2 linked regions of the Xenopus tropicalis genome follow. The protein of the gene in region 1 binds, or shares a complex with, the protein of each later gene. Links are inferred from orthologs where the notes say so. Each region holds a gene or a part of one and is shown on either strand. Other genes may lie near its edges.

Region 1 (4,337 bases):
GTATTAGCACTGGGGGGCACACAGCCCCCAAAGTATGAGCCAGACTAGAGGGCCCTGGGCATCCTGGCACACATGCTGTGTATATAGGTGCCCACACAGCTCCTGCCAGAGACACAGTATCAGTACTGGGGGGCACACTACCCCCCCCCCCAAGTATGAGCCAGACTGGGCATCCTGGCACACATGCTGTGTATATAGGTGCCCACTCAGCTCCTGCCAGAGACACAGTATCAGCACTGGGGGGCACACTACCCCCCCCCACCCCCAAGTATGAGCCAGACTAGAGGGCCCTGGGCATCCTGGCACACATGCTGTGTATATAGGTGCCCGCACAGCTCCTGTACCAACAGCTCATTGCAATCAGTGGTGGTTGGGAAGGTTCTGGAGATGCCAAGCCCCGCCTACACTCCCCACGCTCCCCACAGCTCCTGCCAGAGACACAGTATCAGTACTGGGGGGCACACTACCCCCCCCCCCCAAGTATGAGCCAGACTGGGCATCCTGGCACACATGCTATGTATATAGGTGCCCACTCAGCTCCTGCCAGAGACACAGTATCAGCACTGGGGGGCACACTACCCCCCCCCCCCCCCAAGTATGAGCCAGACTAGAGGGCCCTGGGCATCCTGGCACACATGCTATGTATATAGGTGCCCACACAGCTCCTGCCAGAGACACAGTATCAGTACTGGGGGGCACACTACCCCCCCCCAAGTATGAGCCAGACTGGGCATCCTGGCACACATGCTGTGTATATAGGTGCCCACTCAGCTCCTGCCAGAGACACAGTATTAGCACTGGGGGGCACACAGCCCCCAAAGTATGAGCCAGACTAGAGGGCCCTGGGCATCCTGGCACACATGCTGTGTATATAGGTGCCCACACAGCTCCTGCCAGAGACACAGTATCAGTACTGGGGGGCACACTACCCCCCCCCCCCAAGTATGAGCCAGACTGGGCATCCTGGCACACATGCTGTGTATATAGGTGCCCGCACAGCTCCTGTACCAACAGCTCATTGCAATCAGTGGTGGTTGGGAAGGTTCTGGAGATGCCAAGCCCCGCCTACACTCCCCACGCTGGGGGCCCCCTGGTACTAATCTATAGGGTACCCAATGGATCAGCTCCCCTGTAAGAGACCTATGAGTAACCCAATGGCATTACAATAGGGCAACGCCCTGAATGCCCAAGCCCTCCCATCAGGGTGAGGGTGGCACAGAGGGGCACACAGTGACCAACACGCCCTGCAGGGCACCGTACCTTGGCATGGTGAGACTCTGGCTTCTTTACTTTACCGCCACCTGTAGGAGAAATGGAGAAACATCACATCTACCCGCCAACAGGGGTAAATCTAAATGGCACCCGCATGGCCACGCCCACACCCCAAACTCCACCCCATTTAGAAAGGAGCCCTAATGCTTTTATGGCAGACCAGACCTTCCCCCCCCCCCCCATGGGGAAACTAGTGCTTATAACTGCAGCTCCCAGCATCCTCAGCCCGGCATCCTCAGCCCGGCATCCTCAGCCCGGCATCCTCAGCCCGGCATCCTCAGCCCAGCAAACACCGAGACGCCATGGCAGCCCCAGCTCAGACTTACTATATCCAGTCTGAGACCTTCTCCATTCTGCTGAACTACATTCCCTGCCAACCCCTCCCTGGCAGCTGGGTGCTGGGAGTTACAGCCAAACAACAGGGCACAGCTGATCAGTAAAGGGCCTCTATGGCCTGTTAGAAAATTTCTAAAGCCCAGTGGGTCAGATACAGAGATATCTCTGCGCCATTGTGACCCAATCACCCATAGTTTATAGAGAAACAACTCCCAGCAGGCTCTGAGCTGCACTCCCTGCTCAGTTATTGGGGAAGGTCTGCGTGGCACAGCCCTGTGGGTGCTGGGAGTTATCCTACTAAAGCCCTTACACCGGGCAGGAGGGGCAGCATGGCTTCCCTGGCACAGCCCTGTGGGTGCTGTACAGACAGGCAGGCCAGTGGGATGATGAATCAGTAATTACCCTGCTAAGGGGCAATAACATACAGTGAGGCACCAGTAAGTGCTGGGACAGACTGGGGGCTCAGGGGTCGGGGGACAGGGGCCCATACTCAGGGGTCGGGGGACAGGGGCCCATACTCAGGGGTCGGGGGACAGGGGCCCATACTCAGGGGTCGGGGGACAGGGGCCCATACTCAGGGGTCGGGGGACAGGGGCCCATACTCAGGGGTCGGGGGACAGGGGCCCATACTCAGGGGTCGGGGGACAGGGGCCCATACTCAGGGGTCGGGGTACAGGGGCCCATACTCAGGGGTCGGGGTACAGGGGCCCATACTCAGGAGTTGGGGTACAGGGGCCCATACTCAGGGGTTGGGGTACAGGGGCCCATACTCAGGAGTTGGGGTACAGGGGCCATACTCAGGTAAAGGCAATGGCAGAGAGGGGTAACATGGCGCATATATGTAACATCTGCCCTGGGGAAGGGTAAGTGGACTCTTCCTGCCCTGGGAGGGGTAAATAGCATATGGTTATCACTGGCAGGGTAACTGGCACCTGCTAGGCCAAGGTTGGGGGCAAACAGCCTATGTCTGTCACAGGGAGGGGCAACAGGCACTTTGCTGCCCCATGGAGGTAAGACTGATACACTCCTGCCCTAGGTGGGGTAACTGGCACACTCCTGCCCTAGGTGGGGTAACTGGCACACTCCTGCCCTAGGTGGGGTAACTGGCACACTCCTGCCCTAGGTGGGGTAACTGGCACACTCCTGCCCTAGGTGGGGTAACTGGCACACTCCTGCCCTAGGTGGGGTAACTGGCACACTCCTGCCCTAGGTGGGGTAACTGGCACACTCCTGCCCCGCTGAGGGAGAGACCCCCAATCACTTACCCTGCTTGTGGCCGCTCTCCCCGCTCCCCTCCATGCCGGCCCGACTGTCACTGCTCCCCAAACTCACAGCGCATGCGGACAAATGACGAAATGCGCGGCCATCGCTAGGGCTGCAGTAACCCACCAATCAGTGAGCTGCAATGCAATGACACACACCATGTGCTGTCACTCTGCGGCCATGTTTTATATGGGCAAACAAGCGGAGAGACGCACGACTTCTAGTACGGCGTGCCCATACAGTGTCGCACTTTAGCTACGAGTCCGGACGCCATCTTACGTACGGGCAGATAATGCGTGAGATTGTATTCGCCTCCTTATTTTACGGTAGGGCCGGGCATGCTGGGAATTGTGGTCCTTGGTGGAATCTAGTCAGGGCCAAGCGGTAAGTTGGAAAGGTACTTAGGGTGTCCCCAGCCAGTGACTGGGCATATGGCAGGAAAGCACAAACTTCTGTCATAATATGTGTGGGTTACACAGCGAGTAATTCCCTCTGCCATTTAACATTTTATTCTTCAACCAACAAATGTATTTGTAGCTGTAATATTGGTGTGTAGGCGCCATCTCAGTGCCTTGTGCCTGAGTCTGAGCTTTCAGCCAGCGCTACACATTAGAACTGCTTTCAGCTAACCTATTGTTTCTCCTACTCCCATGTAACTGGAGGAGTCCCAATCCGGACTTGGATTTCTTACTATTGAGTGCTATTCTGATACCTACTGGGAGCTGCTATCTTGCTCCCTTCCCATTGTTCTGCTGATCGGCTGCTGGGAGGGGGGGGATATCACTCCAACTTGCAGTGCAGCAGTAAAGTGTGCCTGAGTCTGAGCTTTCAGCCGGCGCTACACATTAGAACTGCTTTCAGCTAACCTATTGTTTCTCCTACTCCCATGTAACTGGAGGAGTCCCAAGCCGGACTTGGATTTCTTACTATTGAGTGCTATTCTGATACCTACTGGGAGCTGCTATCTTGCTCCCTTCCCATTGTTCTGCTGATCGGCTGCTGGGGGTGAGGGGGGATATCACTCCAACTTGCAGCGCAGCAGTAAAGTGTGCCTGAGTCTGAGCTTTCAGCCAGCGCTACACATTAGAACTGCTTTCAGCTAACCTATTGTTTCTCCTACTCCCATGTAACTGGAGGAGTCCCAAGCCGGACTTGGATTTCTTACTATTGAGTGCTATTCTGATACCTACTGGGAGCTGCTATCTTGCTCCCTTCCCATTGTTCTGCTGATCGGCTGCTGGGGGTGAGGGGGGGGGATATCACTCCAACTTGCAGCGCAGCAGTAAAGTGTGCCTGAGTCTGAGCTTTCAGCCAGCGTTACACATTAGAACTGCTTTCAGCTAACCTATTGTTTCTCCTACTCCCATGTAACTGGAGGAGTCCCAAGCCGGACTTGGATTTCTTACTATTGAGTGCTATTCTGATACCTACTGGGAGCTGCTATCTTGCTCCCTTCCCATTGTTCT
Region 2 (4,463 bases), on another chromosome or scaffold:
CAGTAGTTTGTAACTTTCCCTCAGCAAAGAGACAAGAAGGAATGTGCAGGTACTACTCCAGGACAGTAAGAGGGCAGCACTTGAAAGTAAACCTGTGGATGGCATGGGGTTGGCCTTCCCTTACAGAGGAACATGGTGCTATGTATTATGCCAAACTGATGATTCCAACCTCAGAGTGGAACTTGCCAGTGTAGCTTGAAGCAATATTGGTGGTAGAACCCCAAGTTTAAAGGGACAGCAACATGCAGCAGGTATTAATGGGAATGTGTCACTATGCCTATAAAAACATACCCTGTTTAATCATCCATTTCAAAAGTACCCCCATTTGTTCTCCAGCCTGGCAGGACTTTCCCCCCCAGCACTAACATCCCAGCCTTGTGCAAAGCAGTTTAGTGACAAAAAAAGGTAACCAACTGGGGTGGGGGCATTTTTGTAAGCATAGGGACAGTGTTTGTTAAAACCTAGAACATGTCACTATCCCTTTAAGGAGCATTGACTGCTATTTTAGACTGCTTACCTTTATCTTTATCCACCCTGATCACCACAACGCACTCGTTCCTGCCAATTCTAATAAGTTTGTTGATAGATCGGATGCGCCTCCTAGACAGCTCGCTGAGCAGGATCATGCCCTCAATGTTGTTATATTCCAAGAGGCTGACGTAAGCCCCCATCTCGGCTATGGACCGGACGTTCACCATGACAACATCGTCCACTTCCGGGAACTTGTGTTGGTAAAATCTACAGCTTAACGCAGGCATCCTGCGAAGAGAACCAGTAACATTTAAACCCTGTCTCATTCAGCTTGCAATCTATTCTTGGTGCTTGACATGCAGGTACTCTATTATTCGTCATCATCATCTTCTGTAGCCATTACCCTGACCAACCCTCTGATCAGTCTGGTCAGGCAGGACATGCCTTATTAAAGCTGCCCATGCATATAACCTGACAGTTTGGCCCCTCCACCTGTGCTTCAGTTGCATTTTAGACCATGCGGATACAATCCCAGCAGGAATATATTATTACTTTAAACAGCCCTACAGAAATCACATGTAATCCATGCAATATGATGGAACCACAGAACTGGACCGACTCAAAGGCTGATACAGACTAAGGTCCAAACCTGTAACCGGCTACATGCAGATTTAGTTGTGTACCAGAGCAGCTCTGCAGTTTTTTTTTAGCTGACCAGAGACTTTTGACAAAAGAATGACCAATTCCCTTTAAAGGGATTTAGCATGGAATAGCAAGTGACAGAGAGAAACTGCTTTTAATCGAAACTTTAAAATCATGAACATGTTTGATAAAGACATAGCAGAACTGCTATGTACAATTAAATTTGCTTTATTTATGCAATTAAAGGGGGACTCTGGCTTCCAAACCAAAATCTGTTAAAAAGCCCCACGCAACACAGAAACCCCTAATATACCTATCACTGTCATCTGTTCCTTCAAAAAGTATGAATAAATACCATTTTTATATGCTGCAAAACATTTCTTCTCTTTCTGCATCATTTCAAATCCTGAGTGTGGAGGAAAGTCTAAAACACTGATGTTACAAATTGTAACAACTTCTCCACCGCTTACAGACAGCATGCAGGAACTAACCCACAATGCATTGCATCACGATGTTCCTTTCCTTACTGACATCACATGTGCAGGGAATTGTGGGATTTGGAGGCTGCAGGCTGAGAACAGTTGACTACGGTTACATTTTGCCAGCCAGATCAGCAGGAGAACAGGGGGCCAGGCTTAGGTAACGGTTCCAAAGGCTGCATATTTTTTTAATTGATGTATATTGCAAAGTTGCTTAAAATTAGGTTTACTTTTCAAAAGGATTAAATTGTGTTTGGATGGAGTTCCTCTTAAGGTGGCCACACACGTGGCGATTTCAGATCTTTTGGTCGCATGAAAGATCGTTCAATCGGCCACTAACGTTTTGGCCCTTATTTGGCTCCTCCGTGAACTTTTATGGTGCTTGTGTTGCTCTCCAAGTCTTTTTACATTTGACTGTGGCTCACGAGTAAGAAAGGTTGGGGACCCCTGTAATAGCCAGTTACTATTTATTGGGGATGTTTGGGCCTCTGTGTACTTCAAGTGCCAGCATCCACCAACTGCTGAGGGCTGCAGATTCAACAACAGCTGGCTGTCAGCAGGTTGAAAGCAATATAATCTGCACTGCTGGCTCTGACTCCTGAAACAATGTAGCACAAGCCAACAGGTAAACAAATCTAGAGGAGAACTGAATTCTGCTACAATGTTCCTACAGTCAGAACCAGAGAACAGTAAAGGCTAAACACTGCTTTAATTCCCGTTACATGTCCCAATAAGTTCAAGTTTCCTGACAATGTGCAATGAATGTAAACTAAGTTACTCAGAACATTATCTTTCATTATAGAAAACACACTTTCTTTTTTAAGGAGAATTCCCCTTTAACAAAGGCCCCAGCAGGGAGATGGTTCTGGGACAGCTAGAAGGCGAGATGTTACCCACCGTACATATACAGCAGCCATAGCACGTTTGTATAAGGGTGGGTAGATCGCTTTAACACGTTTTACAGGAATCTGCAGGGAATTCCCATCCAACTACAGTAGAACCACAACTCCCAGTGTCCCGCGCTAGCCTGTACAGATAGTTATAGAAGGGCGATTCCACGCCGCTAAAGCTCCACAGCAGAGCGGCCAAGGCGGCTATTAGAACAGATACATGAGTCGGAGCCTTACTTGGCTGATGTTCCCTACGATCAAACAGAACGTTGGCACCGGGCGGGCTCCTTCAGCTCACGCCGCACTATTTCATCAGCATGCGTTCCGGCAAAGAACAACACGCATGCGCAACCCCACAACTACAGCGCTGACACCGGAAGCGGAAGTCGGTGCTACCATTACGGGGTTAGGAGGTTACAGGGCGCCATATTGAAGATGGAACATTATCGCTTTAAAATGTTGTTTCGTGTAACTCATATCATATTAAAAAAGGAATACGAATAAAATATTCCGATGTGGGTGCAGAAACCCATAAAACGTCTGACAAGCTAATACAGTTCAAAACGCTCTTCGTGCGCAGGCGCAGCATTTTTCCGTCTGCTGCGGATCACATGACGAGAGATGTTCAGGTGACAGAACCACGCCCTCCCTTCCTGGATCACGTGACAATCTCTCGCTTTCTTGGTTCTGCCGCAGGAATCCGAGTGTCAGTGAGGGGAGAAGCAGATCGCAGGTCAAGATGTCGGGCAAGGACAGGATCGAGGTGTTCCCTTCCAGGATGTAAGTATGGTGATACGGTCAGATATACCCGTGATCGGGGGCTTGGGCATCTGCTGGCGTGGAATTCTGGGATCTGTAGTTCTGCAATAACTAGAGCCACAGATGTCCCTTGTTGGTTATAATCTTTTGGGGTATTTGTCAGTGGGGTTACAGGCAGGCAAATGGCTCATAGGGGTATGTGTTGATGGGGGGATCCCTGTAGTGTATAAAGATATATATAAAATAGATAGATAAATGTGTGTGTGTGATATTCACCCACTGGCTTGGGTTTAGGGTGGGATAGGAACAGATACTAGCAGCAAAGGCAAAGCATTCTGTGTAAGGGTTCAGCTGTTACCTGGGGCCCTTCAGCAACTCCCACTACCTTAATGGATATATAGATTGTAAGCTCTGCAGGGCAGGGACCTCCATCCTCTGTGTCTTTGACTCTTAACTTATTGCAACTGTATCTTGTATTTATCTGTATTTATTGTTATACTTTGTATTTATCTATTATTATTTTAATAACCCCGTTTGTATTAATGTATTCTACTGTACAGCGCTGCGTACATAAGTAGCACTTTATAAATAAAGATATACATACATGCAATGGCAGCTAAAGGCCATCAGTGGGATAGTGGGAGATGCAGTTCAGCAGAGGCCTGAGACATCCTAATTAATGATATACACCCTTTTCCATTTGGGGGGACCAGCACCCCTTGCCCCTGAGCGCCCAGCCATTGCTGCTAGTGAGCCCATGTTAGGCTGGGGGATATGGGAGCTGCTAGCCGGCTGCATAGTACTAGCCAAACCCATGCACTTGTGTCGGCTGGGGAGTGCGGCAGCCTCACTATATACGCACAGTTACACACTCACCCACACAGTTACACACTCACCCACACAGTTACACACTCACCCACACAGTTACACACTCACCCACACAGTTACACACTCACCCACACAGTTACACACTCACCCACACAGTTACACACTCACCCACACAGTTACACACTCACCCACACAGTTACACACTCACCCACACAGTTACACACTCACCCACACAGTTACACACTCACCCACACAGTTACACACTCACTCACACAGTTACACACTCACTCACACAGTTACACACTCACTCACACAGTTACACACTCACTCACACAGTTACACACTCACTCACACAGTTACACACTCACCCACACAGTTACACACTCACCCACAC

What was found.
Region 2: the proteins of eif2b4 (region 1) and eif2s1 are in contact, whole or in part, in a cryo-EM structure (PDB 6O81), measured with the Homo sapiens proteins. The link is inferred for Xenopus tropicalis from reciprocal best matches to the Homo sapiens genes EIF2B4 and EIF2S1. Residues at the interface, in NP_001029288.1 of Homo sapiens: Asn245, Glu246, Glu247, Arg250, Thr285, Ser520, Ser521, Asp522; in NP_004085.1 of Homo sapiens: Met30, Tyr33, Met45, Arg55, Arg57, Arg75, Glu79, Lys80, Tyr82.

What each region holds. Positions count from the first base shown.
Region 1 is NC_030681.2:161,940,672-161,945,008, forward strand, and holds the start of eif2b4 (translation initiation factor eIF-2B subunit delta), read right to left. Parts: upstream 2,944-4,337; 5' UTR 2,908-2,943; coding exon 2,874-2,907; intron 1,302-2,873; coding exon 1,261-1,301; intron 1-1,260. UniProt on the Homo sapiens protein: Acts as a component of the translation initiation factor 2B (eIF2B) complex, which catalyzes the exchange of GDP for GTP on eukaryotic initiation factor 2 (eIF2) gamma subunit.
Region 2 is NC_030684.2:119,231,432-119,235,894, forward strand, and holds the start of eif2s1 (eukaryotic translation initiation factor 2 subunit 1), read right to left. Parts: upstream 2,805-4,463; 5' UTR 2,720-2,804; intron 763-2,719; exon of another isoform or gene 760-762; 5' UTR 759-759; coding exon 518-758; intron 1-517. Other genes in the region: atp6v1d (V-type proton ATPase subunit D), read left to right, coding at 3,222-3,262. UniProt on the Homo sapiens protein: Member of the eIF2 complex that functions in the early steps of protein synthesis by forming a ternary complex with GTP and initiator tRNA. This complex binds to a 40S ribosomal subunit, followed by mRNA binding to form a 43S pre-initiation complex (43S PIC).